3 linked regions of the Anolis sagrei genome follow. The protein of the gene in region 1 purifies or fractionates together with the protein of each later gene. This does not show direct contact. Links are inferred from orthologs where the notes say so. Each region holds a gene or a part of one and is shown on either strand. Other genes may lie near its edges.

Region 1 (11,116 bases):
TGCAGTTTATGGAAGCTGCAGTCTCAAAACATTGGGTGGAAGATCTACTTTATAGAGCTAGAGTAATTCTATTTTATCTTACTTCGTTTACAGACTGCAATTTTTTAATACAACCATAGGGTTTTAAAAAGTTGGAAAAGAAGTCAAGAGAACAAAACTTTTCACAAGTTTTGATGTCTTCAGTCAAGCACATCACCAACAAAAGGCTAAGATGTTTTCCTCTATGTGCAGATTTCCACATCCATATGTAATAGAGAGAACCTACAGCTCTGTTACTGATCATATTGTTTGCTTGCAGAAGGCCCAAGTTCAATTCTCAACACCAGGCAGCAAATAATGGTAGAGATCTCTATTTGAGACCCTGGAGAGCCACAGTCATGTTAGACAGATATAATAGGCCTTCTTGTCAGTATAGGCATTTGATTGCTCATTCGATTTGGAAACTTTTGAAGCAGATCAGAAAGTGGCAAAAATGTTGAGAAAGTGACAGGTGGAGCATATTTAACCACAAACCTTCAATAAGGTGTTGGATTCTTAACTTTTCAAGAAAACTAAGCACAAAAAATGCACATGAGCTGGCTCATGAAAAGATGGGAAGAAAATGTGTTCGTACATTCCTAAGTTGCATGCATTTACCTTCATCCTGGAAAGTTATTTGAGGGATTCCAGCTCAGAAAACTTCTCTTTTCACTATTGAAGAAAAATCTAGAAGTCAAAGGAAAAATATATGAGTAGATTCTTACAGGAAAGGTGATACGGCACTTGTGAGGAGAATTCACTCACAAAATCTCTGGCTGATTATTAAACACACTCCTCTCTATAGTGTACACAACACACACCCTGTGCATCTCTGAAACACCCACTCCAGGACTAACATGTTATTGAAAGGTTAAAGGAAAGCTCCAGAATGGCTAAACTGGGCTTTTGCAAGCTCTGGATAAAAAGCAGCTGAAGCCATCATCTTCTCTCTCTCTCGTATTCAACTTTGCATCCCTCAGTGTCAATCACTGCCACGGCCCTCTCCCTCTTTGCAACCTGTCAAGTAAAAGAGAAACACTACATGCATGCAGAAGACAGGCATTTCAGAGCAGGGTGGGAATCATGCAGTGCTGGAGTACAGTACTCATACTTCACCACTGGCTATACTGTCCAATGCTGCTGGGATTGCCATCCATTACTGCAGACACGGGCAAACTTTGGTCCTCCAGGTGTTGTGGAATTTAACTCACAGTATTCCTAACAACCGACTGTTGAAGTCCAAAATACCTGGAGGGCTGAAGTTTGCCCATGCCTACATTGCTATCTGGAGACAGCATGATTCCTGTCAATGTTCTAAGGTAAAAGGGAGAGATGTGATCGTGGAACTGAAACAAAATTACAGCCAGCACCTTCAGCCTCCCTATCAAATATCACAAATGCCAGGCCAAACATGCTCTCTGGGTAAGGAAGCTGATTTGTAAAGTGAAGACTAACAGGTCAGTTGCATGTGGACACACCCTCTATCACTATTTACTCAACTGTATACATGTGCAGGCAAAAGTACTTACAATGAGAACTCAGAGATGTGCAGTCCTCTGATTCCCTTCCTTACCAGAGTGCATACCAGTGGGCCCTTCAGTTCACAGCCCACCTCCAACCCCTACACGTTCCTCTTGACAAAACCTGCCCCTTTCCTTTCTAATCCACTTCCCCATATGCTTGTGCTTGCTTCCCTCGCCCCTCGACAAGCAAAAACAAGTTTCACGTGACTTTTTGAGAAACAGAAATCCTCGCCCTGGAGGTTCCTTTTCGCCCCTCATAAGGATGCCTCCTCCAGTCCAGTAATACTACTCTATACATGGAGCTACCTTGGAGAAAAACATATATGAGGTGACAGAGTAGCGAGGAGAGAAAAGTGGTCCATTTGGGAAATATTATCCCCAAAGAAAAGAGTCTGGTGGGTTGAAGTGTGTGTCGACAGCAAAGCACTCTAAAGTCCTGCCTGCCTCATGAATGCATTTATACTGATGAATGAATGCAGTTTGACACCGCTTTTAACTGGCATGGTTCAAAGCTATAGAATTCTGGGAGTTGACCTGAAGTGGAGCCCATCTAGATCAGGCATGGGCCAACTACCGGCTGTTAAGAATTGTGGGAGTTGGAGTACAAAGATCTGGAGGGCCCAAGCTGGCCCATGCCAGCTTCCACTACCTATGCTAGAGAACCTAGAGATTTGTTCTGTTTTGGTCAGACCTCACTTGGAATATAATGCCCAGAACTAGATACAGAATTACAGGTGAATATTCCTACTTAGTTCTGTTTTGGTCAGACCTCACTTGGAATGTAATGCCCAGAACTAGACACAGAATTCCAGGTGAGTATCCCTCTGTGTTCTGTTTTGGTCAGGTCTCACTAGGAATACAATCCCCAGAACTAGACACAGTATTCAAGGCGAGTATTCCTCCTCTGTTCTGTTTTGGTCAGACCTCAGTTGGAAATATAATGCCCGAAACTAGACACAGTATTCCAGGTGAGTTCTGATGCTGCCTAAAATCGCATTGGCCTTTTTAGCTGCTGCATCACACTGTTGACTCATGCTCAAGTTTGTGGCATAGCAAGACACCCAGATCCTTTTCACATAGATTGTTTTCAAGCCAGGTTTTCCCATCATTATCCGTACCTTCCATTTTTATTGCCAAAATGTAATATAGCAACTATAAAATATTATATAATACTATTATTATGAATGGTGTATTAGTACTATGCTAATGATATCATATGCTGTATGTACATATGACTTGTAAGCCGCTCTGAGTCCCCTTCAGGGTGAGAAGGGCGGCATATAAATGTCGTAAATAAATAATACAGTATATCTTTCCCTGTTGAAATTCAGTGTTGTTAGTTTTGTCCCAATTCTCCAATGTCATAAAGGCAGACACGGGCCAACTCGGGCCCTCTGGGTGTTTTGGACTTCAACTCCCACAATTCCTAACAGCCTATCGGCTGTTAGGAATTGTGGGAGTTGGAGTTCAAATCACCCAGAGAACCCGAGTTGGCTTAACAGAGCCTTAGAATCATAGAATCCTAGAGTTGGAAGAGACCTCATGGGCCATCCAGTCCAACCCCCTGCCAAGAAGCAGGAATATTGCATTTGAAGCACCCCTGAAAGATGGCCATCCAGTCTCTGTTTAAAAACCTCCAAAGAAGGAGCCTCCACCACACTCCGGGGCAGAGAGTTCCACTGCTGAACGGCTCTCACAGTCAGGAAGTTCTTCCTCATGTTCAGATGGAATCTCCTTTCTTGAAGTTTGAAGCCATTGTTCCGTGTCCTAGTTTGCAAGGAAGCAGAAAACAAGCTTGCTCCCTCCTCCCTGTGGCTTCCTCTCACATATTTATACATGGCTATCATATCTCCTCTCAGCCTTCTCTTCTTCAAGGTAAACATGCCCAGCTCCTTAAGCTGCTCCTCATAGGGCTTGTTCTCCAGACCCTTGATCCTTTTAGTCACCCTCCTCTGGACACATTCCGGGTTCAATTGTGGTGCCCAGAATTGGAATTAATGCTGTTTGACATCACTTTGACTCAATGCTATGGAATCACGTTGGAGCACTAGCGTTCCGTAGCCATGGCGACTGAAGCGGTGTCAAACAGCGTTAACTCCCGAGTATAGAGGCGAAGGGCTTTGATTCTCTCCTCGAAGTCTTAACTCAGTTTTGGACTCCAACTCCCACAATTCCTAACATCCTATTGGATGTATTAAACCAACTCAGGCTCTCTGGGTGTTTTGGACTGGATGTATTAAGCCGACTCGGGCCCTCTGGGTGTTTTGGACTCCAACTCCCACAATTCCTAACAGTCTGTCGCCTGTATTAAGCCGACTCGGGCCCTCTGGGTGTTTTGGACTCCAACTCCCACAATTCCTAACAGCCTATCGGCTGTATTAAGCCGACTCGGGCCCTCTGGGTGTTCTGGACTCCAACTCCCACAATTCCTACCGGCTGTTAGGAATTGTGGGAGTTGGAGTCCAAAACCCCCAGAGGGCCCAAGTCGGCTTAATACATCCAATAGGATGTTAGGAATTGTGGGATTTGGAATCCAAAACACCCAGAGGGCCCGGGTCGGCTTAATACAGTCGATAGGCTGTTAGGAATTGTGGGAGTTGGAATCCAAAACATTCCTAACAGCCAGCCGACTCGGGCCCTCTGGGTGTTTTGGACTCCAACTCCCACAATCCCTAACAGCCTACCGGCTGTTAGGAATTGTGGGAGTTGGAGTCCAAAATCCCCAGAGGGCCCGAGTCGGCTTAATACATCTAATAGGATGTTAGGAATTGTGGGAGTTGGAGTCCAAAGCACCCAGAGGTCCCCAGTCGGCTCAATACAGCCTTAATGCAGTTTGACATCACTTTGACTCAATGCTATGGAATCACGTTGGAGCCTCGGCGTTCCGTAGCCATGGCGACCGAAGCGGTGTCAAACTGCGTTAATTCCTGAGTGTAGAGGCGAAGGGGTCCGATTGTCTCCTCGAAGTCTCAACTCAGGATAAGTCGCACACAACTTGGGACGACGACACCTTGAGAACACAGAGATAATTGAGATGTTAAGTCAGAGAAGGTTATGAGGGCTAAAAGCGAATCAATCCCACGGTGTGGATGCGGTTCAGGCGAGGAAATAAGGAAAGGCCCCACTTCCACGCTTCGTGAGGGGATTTGGGAGTTTTTCCCCGCCTTCTCTCCTGGCTTCGGGCCCGGTCCCGTTTCCCTCAGAGGTAGGCCGCAAAACTCACCCCGGTCCCCGGTGGGCCACTCTTCCTTCCTCCTTCTTCCCCAACGAAGGGCGACGACGACAGAGGCAGGAGAAGAAGCGGCGGGGGCTGTTCCGCGCGGCTCCGCCTCCCCGCCCGCCCCCTTCCCCCGCAGCCCGCCCTCCTCCCTCCTTCCTGCCTTCCTTCCTCCTTCCCTTCTCTCGCTCTGACTGACTGACTCACCGACTTCCCCCTCAATAACAACGTGAGGAGCAGCGCGGCCTCTCATTGGCCCGCCGACGGCACGTGACGCGCTCGCGCTGGCTTCTCCTCCCCTATTGGCTTCTCCTCCCCTATTCTCCCTCGCTTCTCATTGGCTCCGGCTATCGAGGAGGCGATTGGGCCTCCTCGGTTCTATCGCTCCCGTTTCTATAAGTCTTATTGGCCCGTCTCCCTCCTCCTCTCCCATTGGTGGATTATATTCCCCCTCCCTTCTTGGATTGGCCCAGCGCTACAAAGCCCGCCTCCCTCCAATCGCGAAGGCTTTAAAAGGGAGTGAAGTCAAAGATTCCACACAGAGAAGGCCCCGCCTCTTTCTTCCCGCGACGCGATTGGGCAGGAGCTGAGAACGATGGCGTGAGGCGATTGGCTGGGGAGGAAAAGGGGGCGGGGCTGACTGGAGGTTTGTTTGTGGTGGCGAAGGAAGAATTCGCCCGGCGCCGACTGCGCAAGCGCCGACTTTAGAGCGGCCTGTGGTGGGGATTGCGGCCTCCCTCGGCCGCCATTTTGTGGTCTCCTCAGTCGCGGGCGGAAAAGGCCGCTCCTCAGTCACGGGCGGCGCGGTCTGGCCTCAGGTAATTGCGCTTTCCTTTTATACCCGCCGGGGAGGCGATTCCTAAGTGTAGGGATTCGTTTTTGATTGCGGTTTTGTTGTTTTGTGAGGGAAGCAGGAGGGGGAGGGGACCTCGACGACCGTTACCGGAAGGGGCGGTGCAAACAACCGGAAGTGGGTGTGACGTTAGAGCCGCCATTGTAGGGAGGAGCTTCCCTGTCACTTCCGCTTTCTCCCAAAAAGGGAAAGACGCTTGTCTTGTGGGTCGTTTACTTCCTTCTTAAAAAAAAACAACACATGAAATGAATGAATAACCTAAGAATTAATTTCTGAGAAGGAATATCTTGTTTCTGGATTGATCCCTTCATGGGCACACATCAGCGTCTGGGTTTGTTTATTTTTAAAATATTTATATTTATTATTATTTTATCATAGTTCAGTACATTTGTTATACATTGTTTATTTCACAGCAGATACATATTATTCAATACAACCCATTATTTACTTCCTTATTAAAAATACAACACATGAAATGAATGAATTACCTCAGATTGAATTTCTGAGAAGGAATATCTTGGTTCTGTATTGATTCTTCCCTTCATGAACACACGTCAGCATCTGGGTTTATTTACTTTTTAAAATATTTTTAATTATTTTATCATAGTTCAATACATTTGTTATACATTGTTTAATTTACAGAAGATGCATATTATTCAACTGTCACTCTGGGCCAGAGTGAAGAGAGGGGAGGCCAGGGGACAGCACCATCTTGTCTCCTGCATTTGCCATCCGTTGGGGACCCCTCCCCCCAGCACGAACTGCCGCTCTGGGCCAGAGCAAAGAAAGAGGGGCCAGGGGACAGTTCCACCTTGTCTCCTGTGCTATTCTAATAATATGTTATAATATAATATATTGTATATACATAATATTGTAATGTAATGCAATATAATACTAGTAATTGTTTTTAAATGCGTAATGATTTTGAATTCTGTATATCTAAACTGTTGTAAACCGCTCTGAGTCGCCTAAGGGCTGAGAAGAGCGGTATACAAATAAAGCAAATAAATAAATAAATAATTCAATACAACCTATTATTTATTTAATTACAACATTTATATGCCGCCCTTAATAATAATAATAAACTTTATTTGTACCCCACTACCATAACATATTACATGTATTATCAATAATACATGTAATATAAATGTATTATTATATTATCATATTATTAGTAGTATTATATTGCATTACATTGTTGTTGTTCATTTGTTCAGTCGTCTCCGACTCTTCGTGACCTCATGGACCAGCCCACACCAGAGCTCCCTGTCGGCCGTCACCACCCCCAGCTCCTTCAAGGTCAGTCCAGTCACTTCAAGGATGCCATCCATCCATCTTGCCCTTGGTCGGCCCCTTTTCCTTTTACCTTCCACTTTCCCCAGCATCATTGTCTTCTCCAGGCTTTGCTGTCTCCTCTTCAACTTTGTCTCTAGTATCCTTCCCTCCAATGAGCAGTTGGGCTTTATTTCCTGGAGGAAATAAATGAATGAATTGCCTCAGAATTAATTTCTGAGAAGGAATATCTTGTTTCTGAATTGATTCTTCCCTTCATGGGCACACATCAGTATCTGGGTTTATTTATTTTTAAAATATATTTAATTATTTTAATTCAAAGTGCTGGCTTTAGCCTTTAAAGCCCTAAACGGTTCTGGCCCGACCTACCTGTCCGAACATGTCTCCTCCTATGAACCAGTTAGGACGTTAAGATCATTTGGGGAGGGACTGCTAAATAAATAAAATAAATAAATAAATGCAGGATACAAGGTGGGTTGCTTTGAGTTTTCTGCACGGTACAACCATGTTCGAAAAACATTCTCTCCTGACGTTTCGTCCACATCTATGGCAGGCATCCTCAGAGGTTGTGAGGTCTGTTAGAAATTAGGCAAATGGGATTTATATATCTGTGGAATGTCCAGGGTGGGAGAAAGGACTTTTGTCTGCTGGAGCTAGGTGTGAATGTTGCAATTGGCCACCTGAATTAGCACTGTATGGCTTTGCAGCTTCTAATAAAAGTGTTCTTACCATACATCAAGGAACCACTTGACCACATCGGGAAGCTGATGAAGAAACACAACCTACCAACTATCTACAGACCCACTAAGAAAATCCAACAAATGCTACATTCAGCAAAGGACAAGAGGGATCCTCTCACCTCTGCAGGAGCTTACCGTATACCACCTGGACTTCATATTATTTGAGAATACAGAAATGCTGAACCACTGTAACAATTACCATGTCAGACAGCACAGAGAAGCTACTCAAATCAACAAGCATGTGGACAGTTTCAACAGAAAGGAGGAAACAATGAAAATGAACAAAATTTGGCTACCAGTATTAAAAACTCTAAAATCAGGACAGTAAATAAAGAGCCACACTCAGACGGAGAATTCCAGAGAAGAATCGATCAGGGCCGGCTAACACCCCCTCAGGCAGTAACCGGTCAAGCTTTGAAGCTGCAAGGCTATTCAGTGCTAATCAAGGTGTCCAATTGCAACATTCCCACAAACCTCAAGCAGGCACAAGTTCTTTCTCCCACCCTGAATATTCCACAGATATATAAACACCACTTGCCCAGTTGCCAACAGACCTCACAGCCTCTGAGGATGCCTGCCATAGATGTGGGTAAAACGGTAGGAGAGAATTCTTCTGGAACATGGCCATACAGCTCGGAAAACTCACAGCAACCCAGTGATTCTGGCCATGAAAGCCTTCAACAACAGAGACATATTGGCAGCCAGCACAGGTGCTGTAACAGGTGCTACGCTCCCTGGGTCCAGCACCTGTCAATAACCTTGCTGCAGGTCTCTGAACTAGTATGAGTTTCTAGGCACTTTTCAAGGGCATCCCAAGTAGACATAGCACACATGACGCCTGCACTACACCGTGTAAGACATCCCTCTTGCCCACATCCTACACTAAAGTCAACCCTTACCTCATACACCCTGCATCTTGACTTCCATCCCTCATCATTGTGGTGCCCATAACATGATTTATTTACCCTTCTGTCATGTTTGCCCATACATTCCTCCTGGGACTATTTATCGTTCACTTCTTTGACTCTCCTTCCAGATATGCCATTGCCCATTTCCATCTCTTTAGGAACTCTTGATTTTGCTCACCAAGTTAATAATAATTTTATTTATTACTCACCTCTCCTTATGGCTCAAGGTGGGCTACAAAACAATTAAAATGTATAATCACAGCAAAAACACTACTAATACCCACACTAAAATGTAGCTCCATAAAGTATCTCTATGAAATACACATTAAAACAGACAAAATACAGATTGAACAAAGGACAAGCATTCAAATTCATGTTTAAAGACTGTCTGGGTAGGCCTCCCAGAAGAGACAGGTCTTTGCTTGTGTCTGTCTTAGCTATCAAGAGTTCTACCACAGGTCATTCCACAGCCCTGGGGCAGCCGATATCTTGGTCATTTGCTTGTAATCCATTAGTTTGTCTTTCCAATCTTTCTTAGTTAACACTTTTTCCCCTTTCTGATTCCTAGCAATTATCATTCTTGCTGCTGCAAAACTGTATTAGGCTATTTCTTTATCATTCTGATGGAAGTCTTCCCTAAATAATCCCAGCAAAGACATTCCTGATTTTTTTACCTTATTGCATAACGTTTTGATTCCTTAGTTACTTTACACCAAAATCCTTCTCACCTGATTTGTCTATTTTTGCAATAACTGGTGTTGTATAACTTCTATAAAATATTTTGTATACATTTTCCCTAATTTACTTAAAAAGCCAAAAAAATAAATAAATAGTAAAACGCATGCACAAAACCACATATATACAGTACAGCGCACGTAGTTTTGTGCATGCGTTGTACTGTATATATATATTTTTGCTTTTTAAGTCTCTTCTGCTGTGTTTTTCAGTGTTTTTATGAGTGACGGTCACTTGTTGGCCTGATAGGTGTATTGTGTCCAAATTTGTCCAGTGGTTTTTGAGTTATGTTAATCCCACAAATGAATATTACATTTTTATTTATATAGATAGACCAAACACACATATATTCACAAATACTGTATGCACACACACAAAGCCCATATACACAGACTGGTCCACAGCAACGCGTGGCAGGGACGGCTAGTATGTTCTAAAAGACCTGTGGATTAGCACAACTCTTCAGCTTAAAGTGTGTTTTCTCTTCACGCTTGCAAAGACATCATCTTCTTTCAGCCACAGCTATTTGTTTCTCAGGTTGTTGTCTCGGTTGTCCTCAAATTTTGATGTAAACTTGTTACTCAGAATTAATGATGCCATTTCCACAATAGTACTAAGGGGTAAGCCCTTCTGTTTTACCTTCAGTAAAGCATTCACAATATTGTTCCTACTGACCTCTGGATGTAGAACTTCTAGGATTTTCCAGAAGCCTTTCAAATTCAACATGTTGCGAAATGCAAACACACTACTGGATGGGAACGCCAGTATTTAATTCCTTTCCATAACTGATAAATCCTACAAATGAGGAATAACTATCAGCAAAAAGGGGGAATCACTATGCCTATCAAGTTAACTCCCAAGTATGTACATGTTCTTATAGTTATACTTTTACTGTTGGTAATTACTGGAAGTTTTTAGAGATATGTCAAAAACTCCTGTGAAGCTCCATCAACTAGAATCAATAAGTAGGAATTTATTACAACTAAATCCCATACAGGGAAGACAATATGATCCAAGATGTAAGTGCCTTGTTGCTGCTGTGTGCTTTTAAGTCGTTTTTGACTTATGGTGACCTTTGGGCGGTCATGGGTGAACTTCTGCCCTCCAGATGTTTTGGATTTCAAATCCCAGCAGCTGACTATTAGTAATTGCGGGAGTTGAAGTCCAAAGCACCTGGAGGGCCAAAATTTGCCAATGTCTGCTTAGAGTCACCCTATGTAGTTGTTGTTCCATAAAATATCAGGGATTTATTTGTTGGCAATCCTTTTGGTAAAGGTCCAGAGCTTCTGCAAGCGAGTTCTGCATCCGGAATGTCCACTTAAGAATTCTGTGCCCAAATTTATACTTTCCGCCAGCTTTGGTAATGTGGGGCAGGCTGTGTGGATTGACTGTTGTGGAGCTGATTCAGCTGTGTCTACACCAGGTTTGCGCGACCTGCCGTCCTCCAGGTGTTTTGGACTTCTGCTCCCAGAATTCCTGGACATTGAAACAGCTGGCTAGAGCTTCTGGGAGTTAGAGGCCCAAACACCTGGAGGCCTGATCTACACCCATCTAAGTGATCAGAATCAGACTTGGAAGAGGTTACAAGAGCTGTCCAGTCTAATCCTGCCATGCAGAAACACACAATCGGTCCTCCTGACTGATGACCATGCAGCCTCTGCTTAAAACCACCCAGAGAAGGAGACTCCATCAGAATATCCCATGCTTCAACAGCTCTTGCTGTCAGGAAGTTCTTCCTAAGGTTTAGAATGAATCTCTTTTTCTTTAGCTGGAATCCATTGCTCAATATACTCAGTATCTCTAGAACAGTGGTTTTCGTTGTTCTCAAC
Region 2 (11,049 bases), on another chromosome or scaffold:
GTAAAAATGCAGAAAATGGGACACAAAGGATGTGTCCTAAATTTACCACCACATAATGTATAATGCTGAGAGAGCAAGCATTACTAAAGGTATACCTACAGTGTAGAATGAATGCAGTTTGACACCTTTTTAACTGCCCTGGCTCAATGACTTGGAGTTTGGTGAAGCACCTTGTAAAACTACATCTCTTATGCTTCCATTGCAGAGAGCTAGGGCAATTAAAGCAGTGTCAAGCTGCACACACTATACAGCAGCATATCTCAATGTGGTGTCAGAACCCCTGAGGGGGTCACGAGGGGGGTGTCAGACCATATTTCTGATGGCCTTGGAAACCTCTTTAGCAGAGAAGGCTGAAGATCTCTTGCCTGTCCTTCTCTTCCTTTTTGGAAACAAACTGCAAATCCTCCCAAAAGAAGCCTTACTACTGTTCTCTGGAGGTAGGTGAACTACATCTCCCCTAAATATTGTCAACTCGTTCCAAATCCCTCCTGTATTTTCTATTGGTTATGGGGGTTCTGTGTGGGAAATTTGGCCCAATTCTATCATTGGTGGGGTTCAAAGGGTTCTTTGATTGTAGGTGACCTATAATTCTCAGCAACTACAACTCCCAAATGGCAAGGTCTATTTTCCCCCAAACTCCAACAGTGTCCACATTTGGGCTTATTGAGTATTCGTGCCAAGTTTGGTCCAGATCCATCATTGTTCGAGTCCACAGTGCTCTCTGGATGTACATAAACTACAAATCCAAAAGTCAAAGTCAATGCCTACCAAACACTTCTAGTATTTTCTGTTGATCATGGGAAGTTCTGTGTGCTAAGTTTGGTTCAATTCAATCGCTGGTAGAGTTCAGAATGCTCTTTGATTGTAGGCGAACTATAAATCCCAGCAATTAAACTCCCAAATGACAAAATCAACTCCCCCCACCCAACCCCACCAGTATTCAAATTTGGGTGTATCGGGTATTGTGCTGAATTTGGTCCACTGAATGAAAACACATCCTGTGTATCAGAGATTTACATTACGATTCATAACATTAGTAAAATTAGTTATGAAGTAGCAACAAAAATAATTTTATGGTTGGGGATCACAACATGAAGACCTGTATTAAGGGGACGTGGCATTAGGAAGGTTGAGTACCACTGCTCTACAATATAAATGCACGCCAAGGCCCCATCTATACTGACCCTTTAACACAGTTTGATGCCAGCTTCAAGCTGCTGTGGCCAGACAACAAACTTCCACAAAAGCATGTAAAAGAAAGCCCTTAATGTGCTCTGTGGTTTGTGTTATCACCATCCAGGCCACAAACTGGTTCCAGGATTTCTGTACAGCAAAACCACTATCTTCAATGAAGATCTGAGACTGACACCACTTGAATGGCCAAGGTTCAAGGCTACAGAATCCCTGGAGTTGTAGTTTTACAAGGTACTCTAGCCTTCTCTGCCAAAGAGTGCTGGTGCCACAACAAACTACAAGTTCCCAGGATTCCATAAGGGAGTTACAGCAGTGTCAAACTGCATCAAATCAACAGTATAGACATCAGAGCCCCCAGTGGTGCAATGAGTTAAACTCTTGTGCCAGCAGGACTGAAGATCGACAGGTCGGATCCAGGAAGAGCATAGATGAGCTCCCTCTGTCAGCTCTAGCTCCCCATGCAGGGAAATGGGAGAATCCTCCCACAAGGATGATAAAACATCCTGGTGTCCCCTGGGCAATGTCAACAGCCAATTATTTCACACCAGAAGCGACTTGCAGTTTCTCAAGTCACTCCTTACACAAGAAAAAACAAACAAACAGTATAGACACAGCCTAATGAACCTAATCCCACTGTATGCAAATGCGGCATGATTTGTGTGCCAATGATCCCCAAACCTCTCCAAATGTGCTTCCAAAGCCAGGCAACCACAAGACTTGTTTTGTTCTGGCTTTGCAAGCACAAAGTATTCAAACACCAGCCTTTCCTTCCGCATAAAGGCCATGCATAAGCATAAGCCAAGCAGGCGGGTACTCCGCAGGTTCACGTGCCCTGACTCTGGGAACGTGTCTGTTGCATTTAGGAGTGTTTCTCTGCTTTATATATGTCTTAAAAGGAGCAAAACCACCAGTGGAAGGCGGGGAGACCTGGCTTTTAGTGGCGGGGCTTAAATGAAGTGCTGGAAGAAGGGCTTGATGGCTGCCAAAAGGGGAGAGAGAAGAGACGATGCGGGTGGGACGGACGTGCAAACACTGCAGCAGCAGCACGAGGCGGAGCAGGAAAACAGAAGCACGCCATGAAAGCCATATATATGTGTGTGTGTATGTGTTGTATGTATAACACTGTCTGCAAAGAGAAAGGAGAGGTTGAGATGCTTTGGTCTTCAGACAAAATAACACAGTGAGGAATGAATGTAGTTTTAACATCACTTTGTGGAATGTACGGCGAGAGAAGGCTGCAGACCTTGCAAAATTACAACTCCATTATATTAAGGCATTAGGGTGTTTCAATTATGAAAGGTAGAGGCAGCCTATGAGAGCAAGAAAAAAGCAAAATAACATCAAAGTAGCAATGCCATCAAGGAGGGAGAGAAGATGACAAAGAGCAGGTTTTTGCCGCGTCAGACATAAACAGCCGGATGCGGAATGAGATTTGCCCCAAGCTTTGGGGGATCCTATCTGCCAAACTCCTCATTCCTTTGCTGCATCTCTGTTTCCCTCTCAAGGAATGAAGTGGAAGGAGACTGTGGAGGGAAATGGGACAACAAAAAGTCATCGGGATTGGGATCGAAACACCTCAGATCTGGAGAAAGGACCCCCCTTGGAAAGGGGAATCTCTCTCTGTCTCTCTCCTTCCTCCATTGTGGCGGGATGGCTTTTGTTGCCTTCCTGTCTGCACTTCTTTGCCGTCCTGAGACATGAAGGAGGAGGGCGGGAAGTGAGAGACAGAGAGAGAAAGGGAACAGGCGGATGGCTTTGCACACTTGTTTTTTGCAAGGAGAAAAGAGCCGCAAAGGCAAGGAGAATGAGGCAAGGCAAACTTCAAGGAGAAACAAGGCGATGGGAGGAAGACTGCGAAACTGCACAAAGAACAAGACAATGGCCCCCTCCATAGTGCCAAATAATATAGTTGGAAATTGCATTGAGTGAGTGTAGACTCAAATAATGACTGTATACCAGGCATGGGCAAACTTTGGCCATCCAGGTGTTTGGACTCCAACTCCCACAATTCCTAACAGCCTACTGGCTGTTAGGAATTGTGGGAGTTGGAGTCCAAACACCTGGAGGGCCAAAGTTTGCCCATGCCTGGTATAAATAAGAAAATAATAAAACTTTATTTATATTCCGTCCGCTCAGGCGGATTCCAACATACATTCATAAAACAAGCAAGTCCCAGCATTACAACCTCAGAGAAACCCACAACACAAAAACAACATTGCAACTTAACAAGACTGGTTGTATGGCCAGTGGTGGTAATTGGGCCAACACGGACCAACAAAGCCAAGGTGTGAGATAGTTCTCAACCAGAGGCCCAGTAATGATCTCTCATTGTCTATGCAGTTTCCAACAGTTATTGGCCAGTGCAGATGGGATTAAAGTAAGCAGTGAAAGGCAATAAGAAGTGCAAAGAAAATGCAATGAAAATTTCAAGAGCAGACACATAAAATCCAGATGCTGTGCTTTGAACTGGATCATATGGCAGTGTAGAGACATATAATCCAGTTAGGATAATCTGGATTGTATGTGGCAGTGTAGAAGCGGGACCTGAGGGCCCTTCCAGACAGGCCTACCTCTCAGAATCTGACCCCAGGTTTTCTGCTTTAAACTGGACTATGAGTCCACACTGCCAGATAATCTGGGATAAACAGTAAACCTGGGATCAGACCCTGGGATATGGGGAAGTGTAGATTCAGCCTTAGGGCCCTTCTAGGCCAGCCCTTTATCCCAGGATCTGGTCTCAGGTTTTCTGCTTTAAACTGGATTATATGAGTTCACACTGCCAGATAAGCCAGGATAAACAGAAAATTTGGGATCAGATCCTGGGATATAGGGCGGCGTAGATACAGACTCAAGGCCCTTCCAGACAGGCCCTTTATCTTAGGAACTGATCACAAGTATTTTTGCTTTAAAGTGGATTATATGAGTGGGCGCTGCCAGATACACTGTACACTCAGAGTGCCACCAATTATCATGCAGTGCGGACACATATAATCCAGTTTAAAGCAGAAAATCTGGAAACTTGGGATCAGATCCTGGGATAATAGGGCCTGTCAGGAATATAACAGTAGGGGGGGGGGGGGAGGCAGTGCAAACTGCCCAAAAATAGAAAGAAGGCCGTGCAGTAAACGCAAAAGCAAGGAGAAAAACAATGCAAAGTGGAGAAAAAAACAATGCAAAGTGGAGAAAAAAACAATGCAAAGTGGAGAAAACAATGCAAAGTGGAAGACAAACAAGACAAAGTCTAAGCAGCATATAAGGCAAAGCAGGCTGCAAAAATGACCAATCCAAGTCGAAAGAGTTGGGGGAAAAAGCAAACTTCAAGGGGAACAAGTCAAAAGTGGGTGGGAGGAGATCAAAGCAAAGTCTGCAAAGGAGGGCAGGCAGGCACAATAACTCTCTTTTCCTGACCATGTTCTAGAAGCATGCTCTCCTGACGTTTCGCCTACATCTATGGCAAGCCTCAAGCCTCAGCCTCAGGCGAAACGTCAGGAGAGCATGCTTCTAGAACAACCGAAAAACCCAGTGATTCCAGCCATGAAAGCCAAGACTCACGCTCTTGTCCAGCTCGATCTTGACCTTCTTCTGGGAGATGCTCTTCTGGATGCGCTTGCTGAAGCTGGCGTTGCCCGCCGCCCGCCCGCACCGCTCGCCTTCCTCCCTCAGGCAGCACACTTGGCCCGCCCCGGGGCCCGAGCCAGCCGGAGCCGCCCCCGAAGAAGCAGACGGAGAGGAGGAAGAGGAGGCCACCGAGGAGGAGGCCATGCCCAGCCCGGGCGGAGGAGGAGGTGGAGGAAGGGGCAACGGAGGAGGAGGAGGTGGCGGCGGCAGAGGAAGGGCTTCCCCGGCATTGGCAACCAAGGCGGGGAGCGGGGCTTCTCCTGGCCCTCCTCCTCCTCCTCCTCGGGCCACGTCGTCGGGCCCGAAGCCATTCATCTCCGCGCTGTGTTTCGACAGTAAAGTCATTCAATACGGGGGAAGGCGTGTGTTGGTGCTGCTTGCTTGCTCAAGGCGAGACCCACCGCATTCCCTTTCCCGGCTTCGTCGGAGGGATATCAATCACCCCTTGGGGCACCGCGCGGCACTTTCCAGCACTCCTCTCCCCATTGCAGCAGCAACAACACTAAACCCCGGTAGAGCTGGCTCTGTTTTCCTCTCTCTCCTCTTTCTTTCCCCCCTCCCCTTTCGAATTCTCGCTATGCGCTCATGGGAAACGTAGTTCCTGTCTCTGTTTTTGCAGAAGGGATTAGACGCCTTTCAGGACTACCAATCCCAGAATGCAACGCTTTGCGAGATGTAGAAAAAAAAGGAACTCCTCCGCCGCCTCAGTGTGGTGGTGTATTTACAAAGCGGGCTTGTTTGCGCGCGCGCAGGCAGGCAGGCAAGGCTTGCGAAGGACACGTGACCCGCTTCCCTTTTTTTCTCCTCACCGGTTTTTGAAACCTTCGCTCGGATGCCATTTAAGTAAATGCCTCGTGACGTCTGAGCTTCAGACCCTCCCCCTCCTTCTCTTCCTCTCATGCGACCGGTTTTTTTTTGGAAAGGGGGGGAGGCTTTGAAAGCGGGAAGTTGGAAAAGACTGCTCTCTCCCATTGCAATGCAAAGCCTAGCCAACTCCTTTATGAGAACCACCACTCCTCTTGGCGTGCCCCCCCCCTCCCCAGCTTACTTACTTAGACGAGAAGGATAGTCTCCCAGGATCAGTATTCTTGTGGGTCCATAGGTGACTGTGGAGCCCTATTCTTGACCTGCATCTTCTCCCACAGTGAAGGCGTTGGTTTCCAGGTGGAAGGCGGTCTCGGCCGGGGTTGGCTCAACGGCCTTCCTCCTGGCACGTTTCTCTCTTTCACCCTCCATTCGTGCCTCTTCAAATTCTGCAGCACTGCTGGTCACGGCTGACCTCCAGCTGAATGCAATAACATCCTGTGGAAACTTACTGGCAGCACATGGGGTGCAGACCCAAAATTAATAAGAACATCAGCCCTGGCCTTGTCTTACTCAACTGCTGAGTATGCCTGCCCTGTTTGGCATAGGTCTGCCCATGCAAAGCAGGTGAACATAGCATTGAATGAAACTTGCAGAATAATCACAGGATGTCTTAAACCAGGGGTCAACAAACTTTTTAAACAGAGGGCCAGGTCACAGTCCCGCAAACTGTTGGAGGGCCGGATTATCATTTGAAAAAAAAAATGAATTAATTCCTATGCACACTGCACATATCTTATTTGTTGTGCAAAAATCACTTAAAACAATACAATAATTAAAATGAAGAACAATTTTAACAAATATAAACTTATTAGTATTTCAATGGGAAGTGTGGGCCTGCTTTTGGCTGATGAGATAGGATTGTTGTTGTTGTGTGCTTTCAAGTTGTTTCAGACTTAGGTTGACCCTGAACGAGGGCCGGGTAAATGACCTTGGAGAGCTATATCCGGGCCTTAGTTTGAGGACCCCTGTCTTAAACCTACACCTGTTGATAAACTCTACAAGCTAGCTGGCATTGCCCCTTTAAAAAGAGATTTAAAGATGGCTCAAAGCCAACTTTAAAAACTCTGTCATAGACTCTGGGAACTGGGAAGCCCTGGCCCTTGAGCACTCCAGCTGGAGGTCAGCTGTGACCAGCAGTGCTGCAGAATTTGAAGAGGCACAAATGGAGGGTAAAAGAGAGAAACGTGCCAAGAGGAAGGTGCATATACATAAACACATGCACGCATACATACACACATATACGCATGCACACACATATACACATGCATACACACATATAAACACACAAAAATACACATATGTACATATATACACACACACATATATGTACACACGTGCACACGTGTGTGTGTGTATATATGCAAACACACACACATATATACACATATATACACACACAAAACACATATACACAGACTGGGCCACAGCAAAGCATGACACGGGACAGCTAGCTATATATATAACACGTAACTAGTGGAGGCTTGAGAAGGTTACTATTTCCAACAGGCTTGTTGTGGAAACAGGGATTTATTTATTTTTTTGTCGTGTCAGGAGCGACTTGAGAAACTGCAAGTCGCTTCTGGTGTGAGAGAATTGGCCTTCTGCAAGGACTTTGCCCAGGGGATACCCGGATGATTTGATGTTTTTATCATCCTTGTGGGAGGCTTCTCTCATGTCCCCAAATGAGGAGCTGGAGCTGATAGAAGGAGCTCATCCGTCTCTCCCCGGATTTGAACCTGCAACCTGTCGGTCTTTAGTCCTGCCAGCACAGGGGTTTAATCCACTGCGCCACTGGAGGCTCACAGGGATTGGTGATAAAGCTTCAGTAGAGACCCTTTCCTCCCATGATAACTCAGGGGTGGCTATTTCTTCCTGAGGGTAGATTTTCTCATTTCCTGTTGTCTCATCCCCGTTCTTTGTAAGTTAGATGTTTGTAACTCAGGGACTGCCTGTACAATCATAAGCAATTTGGCAGGAAGACCTACTTGACAAATTTAAAAGACCCTTTTAAATGTTTTCTTACCTGTGGTGGCAGATATCACTAAAAATTATGCACAGAGCTTTTTTTCTCATCAGCTATTGTTAGTGTATTTTTGTATTGCTCAAGACAATCCTCTTCCTTCTGTGGTGCAAGGAAATTAAACGTTTGCTTACAACATTGCAAAGCTGTTTAGCTTAGGAAAGCACATGATGGAGGTGGACACGCAGTTGTCCCACTGTATTCAGAAATTCTGCACTAACAGATTCAATTATAACATATTCAGGGAGGGAAATCCAATAATCAACATTTTGATTTTGCCACATGCGAAGCACCATGGTAATGTATAGGCATATTCTCTTGTAACCTCCTGTCATTTCACAGATCCTCAACACTTGTTTGAGTTATTTGCCATTTTATTAAATTAATGTCATTTTACCATGTCATTTTAGATAATGGGATTTGAGCACCCACATATTTTGATATCCGTGGCGTGTGTGTGTTACTTGGAACCAAACCCCAGTGGATACCATGGGCCAACTGTAATTACCAGCTCCGGAAAATGGATAGTCCTGCAGAAGGGAAACAGCTGGTTCACAAATTTCAATAACAGAAGATTCCATAGAGACAAAAGGAGCTGTTCCTGCAACATAGGCCCCTTCCACACAGCCCTATATCCCAGAATATCAAGCCAGAAAATCCCACAATATCTGCTTTGAACTGGGTTATCTGAGTCCACACTGTCATATATTCCAGTTCAAAGCAGATATTGTGGAATTTTCTGTCTTGATATTCTGGGATATAGGGCTGTGTGGAAGGGTCCTAGGTCAATACTAGTGAGAGCTGCATGGTGTTGTGGTTTGGACATTGGATTACAACTATGATCATGGCTGAATACCCGATCAGCCACAGGAACCCAACAGGATGACCTTGAGCTAACCATAGTCCCTCTGCCACAGAGGAAGACATAAGGAAAATTATTTCTTAACAAATCTTACCAAGAAAACTCTGTGATAAGATCCCTGTAAGTTGGAAATGGCTGGAAGACAAACAAAAAAGGATAGTTATATAATTATATCTCCCAGCCTAGATTCTGTATGGTTTTACAAAAGCAGAAAAAAACATATCAGAACAGTTACACCACAGTTGTGGAAATTTCCTATCAGGCAACTAGATTGTTGGATAGGCATTGAGTTCACCTACTGCGCAACAACTGATTTGCTCCTCATTGATCAAGGCTCCTTCCACACAGCTAAAATCCACATTAAACTGGATTATATGGCATTGTGGACTCAGATAATCCAGTTCAAAACAGATATTGTGGATTATCTTCTTTTCTATTCTGGGTTATATGGCTGTGTGGAAGGGCCCCAAGTCAAAAGTGAAAGCTGCAAGTGGGCAGAGGGACCTTTCACACAGCTCTATATCCCAGAATATCAAGGCAGAAAACCCCACATTATCTGAGTGTGGACTCAGATAATCCAGTTCAAAGCAGAAATTGTGGATTATCTGCTTTGATATTCGAGGATATATGACTGTGTGGAAGGGTCCTTAGAAAATTATTAGCTGCATTAGGGAGTGTGTTTACACAACCTCTAAGACAATACAATGTTATCTTAAACTTAGTGCCCCAATCGGGTAGTAGTCTACCTCCAGTATTGAGTAAGTGGGCTTCTTTTGCTGTGGAGCGGAAAAGGGAAGAGATTGCTATTGTATATAGATACAGGACAACGTTTTGTATCCTCAGAACCATATACACTATTACACTCATCCACAATTTCACTTACTAAGTTCAGATCACCTGTATAAACTACATGATTTCAGTACTTTCATCATCCACTCCACAAAAAATTAATAATTTGTTATTTTCTGTGATTTTAAATATCCATATAAAGTCTAGGAATGTATCTCGTAAACATAAGATGGGATTGTACTGTACTTTTTGTGGTCTTCCCTTCAGCACCTGGATTTTTGACTAGTGAATAAAATGCTCCAAGGGGCCCTCACTCTTCCCGAGGGCCCTTCCACACAGCTATATTGTGGATTATCTGCCTTGATATTCTGGGTTATATGGCTGTGCGGAAGGGCTCTAAAATCCCCATTTCAAGCTGCCATATAAAATCCAGATGATCTGGGTTCCTTCCACACAGCTGAATAAAATCCCACATTATCTGCTTTGAATTGGGATATATGACAGCGTGGACTCAGACATTCCAGTTCAAAACAGATATTCTGAGTTATATGGCTCTGTGGGAGGGCCCTGAGTTCTCAATGGTTTGCTGTAAGATAACAGTTTTTGCATTTCTAATATTAGAGCCTTTTTTTTCTTTTAAAAATATTACAGCTATATGACTGAAGAGGCTATTTAAATGGAAGCATAAATCAGAATGAAGGTCTGAGTATTTTGGAGCCACGGTTAGTTGAATGCATTAACGCGGAACCCGTGGATATGGAAGGTTGACTGTATTTATCATACCAAATATACAAAATACGGGTAACATATTTTAAATAACTTGCTTTTAAATATTTTTGCATACAATTTTTCATGTTTTACTTTTAACGTTATTACTGGAACTGTAGGCTTATCCTTAGTTACCTCTTGTCTGATTCAAAAAGTTGCAGATGTCTCTTACTCAACTTACTTATGGCAAGTTTAGCCCACTAAAACAACGATGCAAACCATAGACTTGTGTTAGATTTCAATATATATATATGCATAATTAAATATATTTTATTTTTACAAATGAACATTTATTGTAATTTGAAGGATATGCGTAGAGAGAGGAGAAAGCCCTGGCAAAAAAGTTACAATTTTATTGTAACTTCTGGACTTCACAAATGTTACAGAACAAAAAAAGAGAAGGGGGGTGCAACAACAAATTATGGTCATTATAGTTAGTTACATCTTCTTGTGATATTCTCAGGCTTGAACAGAGTTGCTACCTTCTCTGGTAACAATCTTTCTGGCTGTGTAATAAAGGCTGCTGGGCCTTGGGATGCTTTATGCAAGTAATGATCATTTAACCAGTGTAGTTCATTATCCACCAGCTGCTAATACTTAGGAATTTACAGGGGGGGGGGGGGGAAGAACTGTAGCCAAATTGAGAGGAAATTGCTGGTTTCCTACACCTGATAGCATAGGCAGCACTGTTTTAATCCTATTTTCTAATACAATTCCTAACTAAAGTATACTGTATATACTCGAATATAAACCTAGTTTTTCAGCCCTTTTTTAAGTTGAAAAAGCCCTCCTCAGCTTGTACTCAAGTCAAAGTTATTTATTATTTTACTCTATTATTATTATTATTATTATTATTATTATTATTATTACATTTACATTAATTTACTCTTATTATTGCATTTATTATTTTACTCTATTTATTATTGTTGTC
Region 3 (10,735 bases), on another chromosome or scaffold:
CTGCTTCTCCAGGTCCAGCATTTCTTCGAGGCACTCCAAGCGCCGCCGCTCGCAGTCTTCCTCATCCATCTCTGCAAAGGGCAAAGCAATGCAAGTCAATGGGCAGAGTGTGCCATGGAGGAAGCCCAAAGTATACGGTAATGGTCTTTGAACCCACCGCTCCGAAAGGCGAAATGTGTGATATTTCTACCCCAGGCACTGACTGACCTGAGCTCTCCTCTTCCGACTCCGACTGGCTAGCGCTGTGGTCAGCCTCGCTCTCTTCCTCTCCATTCATCTCTGCGGCCGAATCTCCTTCCACCTCCATCTCCTTCGGCAAGGGTTGCACAGGCATGGTCTTCTAGAGAGAGATGCCAACACCAGCTTGAGGAATACAAAAGGCCAAATTTTTTTTATTAAATTTACAATTTATCAAAAGTCAAACTGCATCAGGGTACAATCAAAGCCCTCCCGACAGATGGCCATCCAGCCTATATTGGATCTTGGAAGCCTAAACTTGGAAGGGACCCTTAGTGGGCATGCAATCCAACCCTATTCTGCTGTGCAGAGAAATTATTATTATTATTATTATTATTAGTATTCATATCATAGACTCCCAATATTGAAAGAGACCTCAAAGGGCCATTCAGTCCAGCCCTATTCTCCTGTGCAGATGAATTATTATTATTATTGTTATTATTTATATCATAGATTCCAATATTGGAAGAGACCTCAACGGGCCATCCAGTCCAGCCCTATTCTGCTGTGAACATGAATAATAATAATAATAATAATAATAATAATTAGTATTAGTATTTATATCATAGACTCCAATATTGGAAGAGACCTCAACGGGCCATCCAGTCCAGCCCTATTCTGCTGTGAACATGAATTATTATTATTATTATTATTATTATTATTATTTGTATCATAAACTCCAAAATTGGAAGAGACCTCAAAGGGCCCTATTCTGCTGTGCACATGAATTATTATCATTATTATTATTATTATTATTATTATTAGTATTTATATCATAGACTCCAAAATTGGAAGAGATCTCAAGGGGCCATCCAATCCAGCCCTATTCTGCTGTGTAGATTAATAATAATAATAATAATAATAATAATAATAATAATTTATATCATAGACTCCAAAATTGGAAGAGACAAGGGGCCATCCAATCCAGCCCTACTCTGATGTGCAGATGAATAATAATAATAATAATAATAATAATAATTTATATCATAGACTCCAAAATTGGAAGAGACCTCAAGGGGCCATCCAGTCCAGCCCTATTCCGCCATGCAGAGAAATGATTATTACTTTATCGACACAAAAGCACAGTATGTCACAGCAAATGAGATCTCTATGCTGGATTTCGTATCACAAAATCACAAGTCGAACACTTCCCAAGCGTCTAGGACTGTATGATATATTTTCGAATGATGCGCACAGATCCAAGTAAGGTCGCCTTTTGCAGTTGACAGTGATTTTGTCAATATTATTATTATTATTATTATTTGATACACAACAAGATTAGTACACAGCAAACAAGACCACACTGCTGACTGTTGTATTGGATCACACGTCGGACATTTCCCAAGTGTCTAGGACTGTGTGATGTATCGGCAAATAATGCATGCAGATCCCAGTAGGGTGGCCTTTTGCAGCTGGCAGGTGGCAATTTTGTCAGCGCCAATTGTTTTTAAGTGCAGGCCAAGGTCTTTAGGCACTGCACCCAGTGTGCCGATCACCACTGGGACCACCTTGTCTGGCTTGTGCCAGAGTCTTTGCAGCTCGATCTTTAAATCCTTGTATCGTGTCAGCTTTTCCAGTTGCTTCTCATCAATCCTCTCTTAGTCATTATGTTTGGTTTCTATTTCTGTGTATACTATCTATATGCTTTGATGTTTTATATTTTATTGTTATGTTGTTTATTTTAATGCAATTTGTATTTTTGTATTGTAATTTGTTGTTCGGGCTTGGCCCCATGTAAGCCGCTCCGAGTCCCCGTTGGGGGAGATGGTGGCGGGGTATAAATAAAGCATTATTATTATTATTATTATTATTATTATTATTATTATTATTATTATTATCCTGCTGTCGCCTGGGATTGCAACATCGATCTATACTGTTTTTTCCCATAATCGTGAGGTCAGGAGTATTGTGCTCCAAAACTCTGTCTGTCTGAATCCAGAAGTCTTAGAGTAGCTTGATGTGTAACTTTTTCAGGCTAGTTATTATTATTATTATTATTATTATTATTGTTATTATGTTTTAAATATTTTAAAAACATAATACATTTTATTTGTAAATCATTATTATTCTTAAAAGTTATTAAAGAGTGGCATTGCATATTATTTTAATAATATAAATATAATATTAATATTGATTTGCTGTTGTTGTTGTTCATTCGTTCAGTCGTCTCCGACTCTTCATGACCTCATGGACCAGTCCACGCCAGAGCTCCCTGTCGGCCGTCACCACCCCCAGCTCCTTCAAGGTCAGTCCAGTCGCTTCAAGGATGCCATCCACCCATCTTGCCCTTGGTCGGCCCCTCTTCCTTTTGCCTTCCACTTTCCCCAGTATCATTGTCTTCTCTAGGCTTTGCTGTCTTCTCATGATGTGGCCAAAGGACTTCAACTTTGTCTCTAGTCTCCTTCCTTCCAATGAGCAGCCGGGCTTTATTTCCTGGAGGATGGACTGGTTGGATCTTCTCGCAGTCCAAGGCACTCTCAGCACTTTCCTCCAACACCACAGCTCAAAAGCATCGATCTTCCTTCGCTCAGCCTTCCCTAAGGTCCAGCTCTCACATCCGTAGGTGACTACAGGGAAGACCATGGCTTTGACTAGGCAATGGATCTTGGTTGCCAGTCTGATGTCTCTACTCTTGACTATTTTGTCGAGACTGGACATTGCTCTCCTCCCAAGAAGGAAGCGTCTCCTGATTTCCTGGCCACAGTCTGCATCTGCAGTCATCTTTGCGCCTAGAAATACAAAGTCTGTCATGGCCTCCACGATTTCTCCCTCTATTTCCCAGTTGTCAATCACTCTTGTTGCCATAATCTTGGTTTTTTTGATGTTTAGCTGCAACCCAGCTTTTGCGCTTTCTTCTTTCACCTTGATTAGAAGGCTCCTCAGCTCCTCCTCGCTTTCGGCCATCAGAGTGGTGTCATCTGCATATCTGAGGTTGTTAATGTTTCCTCCAGCAATTTTCACCCCAGCTTTGCATTCATCAAGCCCCGCACATCGCATGATTTGCTGTTATTATTAATAATAATAATACTCATTTCCAGCTTTTTTAATGACCTGCAGGATTTATTCTGCATACGTTGAAATAATATGAGAAGTCAAACTGATATAGATATTCTCTCTCTCTCTATATATATATATTTAAATTATTTTAAACATATTTAAAGATATTTAAATTATTCATCTCCAACTTTTAATGACTTGCAGGATTATTTTACATATTGTAAACCATTATCATCATTGTTTATTGGGTTAAACCCCTGTGCCGGCAGGATTGAAGACTGACAGGTCGCAGGATCGAATCCAGGGAGAGGCGGATGAGCTCCCTCTATCAGCTCCAGCTCCTCATGCGGGGACATGAGAGAAGCCTCCCACAAGGATGATCAAATCTTCTGGGTGTCCCCTGGGCAACGTCCTTGCAGATGGCCAATTCTCTCACACCAGAAGCGACTTGTAGTTTCTCAACTAGCCTATTTGAGCTCCCAAAGAAATACTGCATTTATATACCTGAATAGGAACTGAAATATGTATTCTCCCTTAACTTGGAGAGGTTTAAACTGGCCTCCCAGATGCCACTGAACTACATCTCCCATCAACCATAACAAAGAGTGAGCCTTAGCAAAAAGTGATAAGAACAGAAGTCCTGAAGATCTGGAAGGTCCTGCATTGCCCACCATTCAAAATAATCAGTATCCTCCCCCTGATTTCAATGGACTCGTCCAACTTCTCCTAGGATTGTCCTGGAGGAACAAACCATTAAACATTTCAAAGGGGGAAGAGTGTAGTAGTATTATAGCCATACACATATATAAACCCCCCTTTGTCCGAGTTGTAATGGACTGGCCCTTGGCTTTCTCATTGGGAAATGGATAAGGCTGGAATGGACGATACCAACTTCACCGATAAAAAGGGGGGTGATGGGGAAAATAGCCGGGACCCCTTATTACCTGGGGGAGGAGCCGAGGAGGACGCAAACGCCGCTCAGGGCTCCCGCAGCAATCGGAAGTCGGCTCCGCTTGGCTCCGCCCACCGGCGCTAGCCAATCACAGCGGACTTTGCCTTGCGAAACGATAACGCCATCCACTGCACTTCGCTCACAACTCTGGGGTCCTTCGCGTAGAATTGTGGGCAGGCGGAAGCGGAAGGCGGACAGTTTCCATAGCAACGAAGCAGAAAGGAAACAAAACAGGCCCAGCCAGTTTTTTTCTGGGACAAAAAATAAAATAAAATAAAATAAAATAAAATAAAATAAAATAAAATATAAAATATAATACAAAAATATAAAATATAAAATAAAATACAAAAAATATAAAATATAAAATATAAAATAAAATAATATATTTATTATATTATTATTAGAATAATATATTTATTATATTATTATTAGAATAATACAATATAACAATATATCCAACTCTTTGATCTATGATTCTATGAATAATAATATAGTATAATAATACAATTATTATATTTTTATTTATTATAAATATAAATATAAATAAATATTTGTTTTAATAATAATAATTTAATAATATATTATTAATAATGACTTATTAATAATATAATGCACATACGAAAGTTATGTGTGTTAATATCTCAGTGCATTATTTCGGATTATGTTATTATTTGAAATAACATAATATAATGTAGTATAATAAATAATAATATAATAAATATAATATATGATTCTATGATAATATATTTTTGTATTGTTATTTATTATAATAATATATTATATTATGTTATTATAGTATTATGATATAATATTATAATATCAGATTATTTTATTATTATTTGAAGTAATTTTAATATAGTATAATGTAGCATAATATATAATATATTATAGTGTAGTATAATAAATAATAATATAATAAATATATGATTCTATGATAATATATTTTATATTATTTATTATAATAATATAATATTATATTATTATAATATTTTGATATAATATTATAATATCAGATTATGTTATTATTATTTGAAATAATGTAATATAATGTAGTATAATAAATAATAATATAATAAATATAATATATGATTCTATGATAATATATTTTTGTATTGTTATTTATTATAATAATATATTATATTATGTTATTTCAAATAATAATAACATAATATGAAATAATGCCCTGAGATAATATTAACATACATAAGTATCGTATGCGCATTATATTATTCTTATTAAAACAAATATTATATTTATTATATTATATTTATTTATATCTTGCTTTTTCTCTCTGAAAAGAGAGAAAGCAATATTGTAATATTATTATTATTATTATTATTATTATTATTATTATTGAAGATAGGAAATGTCCAAGCAGCCAGCGAGTCCTGGGGGCCTGCGAGCCAGCCTTTCCTATTGTCTTTGATTGGCTGTAATAAATGTCAATGTCTGGCAAGCCTGCCAGATTTGGATTTTCTGGGTGCTGAGATATAGAAACAATGAGGGAATTTTGGCTGAAATTTCAATGGAAGGAGATTTAAATGAGTAACAGATCAGGACAAAGGGTGGCTTTCCAAAGGCTTCCTTTGTCCTATTGAGATAGGATCATTAATGTCAAGCGACCGCCTCCCTTGGGGGGGGGGGGGGCAACTACGTGGCCCAGGGGTCACGATTCATTGTTATTTTCCATGTAAGAAATGTCTTTTGATAAGGTTCTTTTTCAACTGAGGATTTCCTCCTTTCCAGGGTCACAGGGTTGCTTCTTATATTTTTATACATTTTTTCGATAAAGGGGAATTGGGCAAAAGGGTCAGGAAAAGGTAAGGTACACAGGGAGAAATATAGAAATATAGAAATCATCATACAGAAAACATACCCACTTATCCCTCCCACCAGAATCATAGAATCATAGAATCAAAGAGTTGGAAGAGACCTCCTGGGCCATCCAGTCCAACCCCATTCTGCCAAGATGCAGGAATATTGCATTCAAATCACCCCTGACAGATGGCCATCCAGCCTCTGTTTAAAAGCTTCCAAAGAAGGAGCCTCCACCACACTCCGGGGCAGAGAGTTCCACTGCTGAACGGCTCTTACAGTCAGGAAATTCTTCCTCATGTTCAGATGTAGTTTGAAGCCATTGTTCCGTGTCCTAGTCTCCAAGGAAGCAGAAAACAAGCTTGCTCCCTCCTCCCTGTGACTTCCTCTCACATATTTATACATGGCTATCATATCCCCTCTCAGCCTTCTCTTCTTCAGGCTAAACATGCCCAGCTCCTTAAGCTGCTCCTCATAGGGCTTGTTCTCCAGAGCCTTGATCATTTTAGTCGCCCTCCTCTGGACACATTCCAGCTTGTCAATATAGAGTCCCATAGAAGTTCAAGAGAGTACATAAGTGTAACGGGAGGTGGTTTCTCAGTAATAAACCTGTTACCTTCTGCTATATATGAAACATAGGGCATAAAAGCTTCATTAAATGTACATGTGAAGGACATACATTGGGTTGTTAGGTGTCTTGTGTCCAAATTTGGTGTCAATTCGTCCAGTGGTTTTGGAGTTATGTTAATCTCACAAACGTACATTACATTTTTATTTATATAGATCGGATCACCTGAAGGTGCCCGCCTCAGATGTAGGCGAAACACCAGGAGAAAATGCTGCTAGAACATGACCATACAGCCCGAAAACCACACAACACCCCAGAAAATGGGAGATTTACGCTGCAATGTTCAGATGCAGCCACTCGAGGGAGCCTATAGGCTAGAACGGTGCCAGGTATGCTCTAGGAATATTTTTTTTGGAGGCTTTGCCCATAAGATGTTAAAATAAATAATCACCCCCTTCTGTCTCAGTCTTAAAAATTTTCTTTTTAAAAAGTCTTCCAGAAAAAAAAGAAAGTGTTGTAGTCATACCCTTCTGCTTTCCTGAAGAATAATTTTGTACTGTTTCCCTGCATGATCTCTCTCTATAAAAGTCTGTATATATGTTGGTTGGTTGGTTTGTATCTATAGGGCTTGGTGTCTCTGGACCAAACTTGGTAACTTATTGTTATTATCAGTTGTTATTATCATCAAGGCAGGGAGTTTCAGAAAAACATCTACTTCTGCTTCATTGACTATTCTAAAGCCTTTGACTGTGTGGATCATAATAAATTGTGGCAAGTTCTTGGTGGGATGGGCATCCCAAGCCCCCTTCCCTCTCTCCTGAGGAATCTGTACAAGGACCAAGTAGCAACAGTCAGAACTGACCACGGAACAACAGACTGGTTCAAGATTGGGAAAGGCGTCCGGCAAGGCTGCATCCTCTCACCCAACCTTTTTAACTTGTATGCAGAACACATCATGCGAGGATGTGCGGGGCTGGATGAATGCAAAGCTGGGGTGAAAATTGCTGGAAGAAACATTAACAACCTCAGATATGCAGATGACACCACTCTGATGGCCGAAAGCGAGGAGGAGCTGAGGAGCCTTCTAATCAAGGTGAAAGAAGAAAGCGCAAAAGCCGGGTTGCAGCTAAACGTCAAAAAAACCAAGATTATGGCAACAAGAATTATTGACAACTGGAAAATAGAGGGAGAAACCGTGGAGGCCGTGACAGACTTTGTATTTCTAGGTGCAAAGATTACTGCAGATGCAGACTGTGGCCAGGAAATCAGAAGACGCTTACTTCTTGGGAGGAGAGCAATGTCCAGTCTCGATAAAATAGTGAAGAGTAGAGACATCAGACTGGCAACCAAGATCCATTGCCTAGTCAAAGCCATGGTCTTCCCTGTCGTCACCTACGGATGTGAGAGCTGGACCTTAGGGAAGGCTGAGCGAAGGAAGATCGATGCTTTTGAGCTGTGGTGTTGGAGGAAAGTGCTGAGAGTGCCTTGGACTGCGAGAAGATCCAACCAGTCCATCCTCCAGGAAATAAAGCCCAACTGCTCACTGGAGGGAAAGATACTAGAGACAAAGTTGAAGTACTTTGGCCACATCATGAGGAGACAGGAAAGCCTAGAGAAGACAATTATGCTGGGGAAAGTGGAAGGCAAAAGGAAGAGGGGCCGACCAAGGGCAAGATGGATGGATGGCATCCTTGAAGTGACTGGACTGACCTTGAGGGAGCTGGGGGTGGTAACGGCCGACAGGGAGCTCTGGCGTAGGCTGGTCTATGAGGTCACGAAGAGTCGGAGACGACTGAACGAATGAACAACAACATTATCATCATTATATCTATCCCACTCAGTCCTTATTAAAGAGAAACCTCTCTTTCCATAAAACTTTCTTCTCCAGATGCAGATGACTGCCGGCCCTCCTAGGATGCGATTTTCGCGTCCCCGGGAGGCCGAAACTGCATTCCTTTAAACCGCGGATATGGAAACCCCTCGGGCCCCCGTATCCGCGAGTCAAATGGTGTCATTCTTTTCCTGGGAGAATTCCAAGACTAATGGCTATCTTGGTTTCGCTCCGCTGCACCCTCCACCCCGGGAATAACCTTTTTGTCCCCAAAACCACATCCTGGAGCCCAGCTGTTTTTCCAAAGATGTTGCCTCGTTGCCACCATTTTGTGGATGTCCAAGGATCCTGCTGTTCCTGGGAAACTGTCACGGTCAACCCATAGGATCCCCAAGATGTCGGCGGGCTGCCCTGGTCCTTGGTATGGAGGGATCTGTGGTTCTCTCCGCGGATCTCGATCTTCAACGTTGGCAGTCAGCTCATAAGGACTCTGTGGACACAGGGACACCTTTCCCCACTTGCCTTTTCTGGATTTTACAACTTTGATCAACTTTCCCAAACTTCCAAGAACTTTTGAAAACTTTCTGGAACTTCCCTCCAAGCCCCGTGGACTTCCTTTCATGATTAAGGGATGATATTATTTTGTGCTTATGAACTTATTCTTTTGGACTCTGGTGGGTGGGATGGTGTATTATGAAATTCCTTTATGCTTCATTATCCCTTATGTATCTCCCTTATGTATGTGTCTGTATATGAAATATGGGAAGCCACCCTTTCGTGACCCCAGCGAGACACCAGCCTTGGGAAGTTCATTTCCTAAGGCAAATCCCCATTGATATAGGTTTTCAACAAAGACTACCTGCATAGAATCATAGAATCCTAGAGTTGGAAGAGACCTCATGGGCCATCCAGTCCAACCCCATTCTGCCAAGAAGCAGGAATATTGCATTCAAATCACCCCTGACAGATGGCCATCCAACCTCTGTTTAAAAGCTTCCAAAGAAGGAGCCTCCACCACACTCCAGGGCAGAGAGTTCCACTGCTGAACAGCTCTCACAGTCAGGAAGTTCTTCCTCATGTTCAGATGGAATCTCCTTTCTTGTAGTTTGAAGCTATTGTTCTGTGTCCTAGTCTCCAGGGAAGCAGAAAACAAGCTTGCTCCCTCCTCCCTGTGACTTCCTCTTACATATTTATATATGGCTATCATGTCTCCTCTCAGCCATCTCTTCTTCAGGCTAAACATGTCCAGCTCTTTAAGCCGCTCCTCATAGGGCTTTTTCTCCAGATCCTTGATCATTTTAGTCGCCCTCCTCTGGACACATTCCAGCTTGTCAATATCTCTCTTCAATTGTGGTGCCCAGAATTGGACACAATATTCCAGATGTGGTTTAACCAAAGCAGAATAGAGGGGTAGCATGACTTCCCTAGATCTAGACATTAGGCTCCTATTGATGCAGGCCAGAATCCCATTGGCTTTTTTTGCCGCCACATCACATTGTTGGCTCATGTTTAACTTGTTGTCCACGAGGACTCCAAGGTCTTTTTTCACACGTACTGCTCTCGAGCCAGGCATTATTGTCCCCCATTCTGTATCTTTGCATTTCGTTTTTCATTTTCATTTTTCATTTCCTAAGGATAGTCATGGACCATTTCCCCATTTGGTGCCCTTGTTGTAGTATAGCCTAAGGCTGCTGGACGTTTTGCTCACATCTATGGCAGGCATCCTTAGAGATAGTGAGGTCTCAACCTTTGAGGACCTCACAACCTCTGAGGATGGCTGCCATAGATGTGCGTGAAACCTCAGGAGAGAATGCTTCTAGAACATGGCCAAACAGCCCGAAAACCTACAACAGCTCAGTGATTCTGGCCATGAAAGCCTTCAACAATAGATAGAACCATCATTTCCCTTACTTGAATCTTCATCACTTTGTGCCCCAAGAAAACCCCCAGGAAATCCCACAATTCTCTCTAAATCAGGGGTCCTCAAACTTTTTAAAAAGAGGACCGGGTCACAGTCCCTCAAACTGTTGGAGGGCTGGATTATAATTTGAAAAAAAACCATGAATGAATTCCTATGCACGCTGCACATATCCTATTTGTAGTGCAAAAAAAAAAAAAAAAAAAAAACCACTTTAAATAATACAATAATTAAGATGAAGAACAATTTTAACAAATATAAACTTAGCAGGTTATAATATAAACCTAGCAGTTGGAAAACATGCAAATGTGAGTAGATCAATAGACACCGCTCCGGCGGGAAGGTAACGGCGCGCCATGCAGTCATGCTGGCCACATGACCTTGGAGGTGTCTATGGACAACGCCGGTTATTCGGCT

The links.
Region 2: the proteins of ARID4A (region 1) and SAP30 purify together in Homo sapiens (affinity purification with mass spectrometry; 5 studies listed by BioGRID and IntAct, with this or other methods). This does not show direct contact. The link is inferred for Anolis sagrei from reciprocal best matches to the Homo sapiens genes ARID4A and SAP30.
Region 3: the proteins of ARID4A (region 1) and BRMS1 purify together in Homo sapiens (affinity purification with western blotting; 3 studies listed by BioGRID and IntAct, with this or other methods). This does not show direct contact. The link is inferred for Anolis sagrei from reciprocal best matches to the Homo sapiens genes ARID4A and BRMS1.

The regions. Positions count from the first base shown.
Region 1 is NC_090021.1:334,653,473-334,664,588, forward strand, and holds the start of ARID4A (AT-rich interactive domain-containing protein 4A), read right to left. Parts: upstream 4,890-11,116; 5' UTR 4,765-4,889; intron 706-4,764; 5' UTR 643-705; coding exon 637-642; intron 1-636.
Region 2 is NC_090025.1:60,584,299-60,595,347, reverse strand, and holds the start of SAP30 (histone deacetylase complex subunit SAP30), read right to left. Parts: upstream 5,386-11,049; 5' UTR 5,158-5,385; coding exon 4,747-5,157; intron 1-4,746. UniProt on the Homo sapiens protein: Involved in the functional recruitment of the Sin3-histone deacetylase complex (HDAC) to a specific subset of N-CoR corepressor complexes. Capable of transcription repression by N-CoR.
Region 3 is NC_090032.1:9,013,582-9,024,316, reverse strand, and holds the start of BRMS1 (breast cancer metastasis-suppressor 1), read right to left. Parts: upstream 4,336-10,735; 5' UTR 4,179-4,335; intron 364-4,178; exon of another isoform or gene 341-363; 5' UTR 335-340; coding exon 208-334; intron 72-207; coding exon 1-71. UniProt on the Homo sapiens protein: Transcriptional repressor. Down-regulates transcription activation by NF-kappa-B by promoting the deacetylation of RELA at 'Lys-310'. Promotes HDAC1 binding to promoter regions.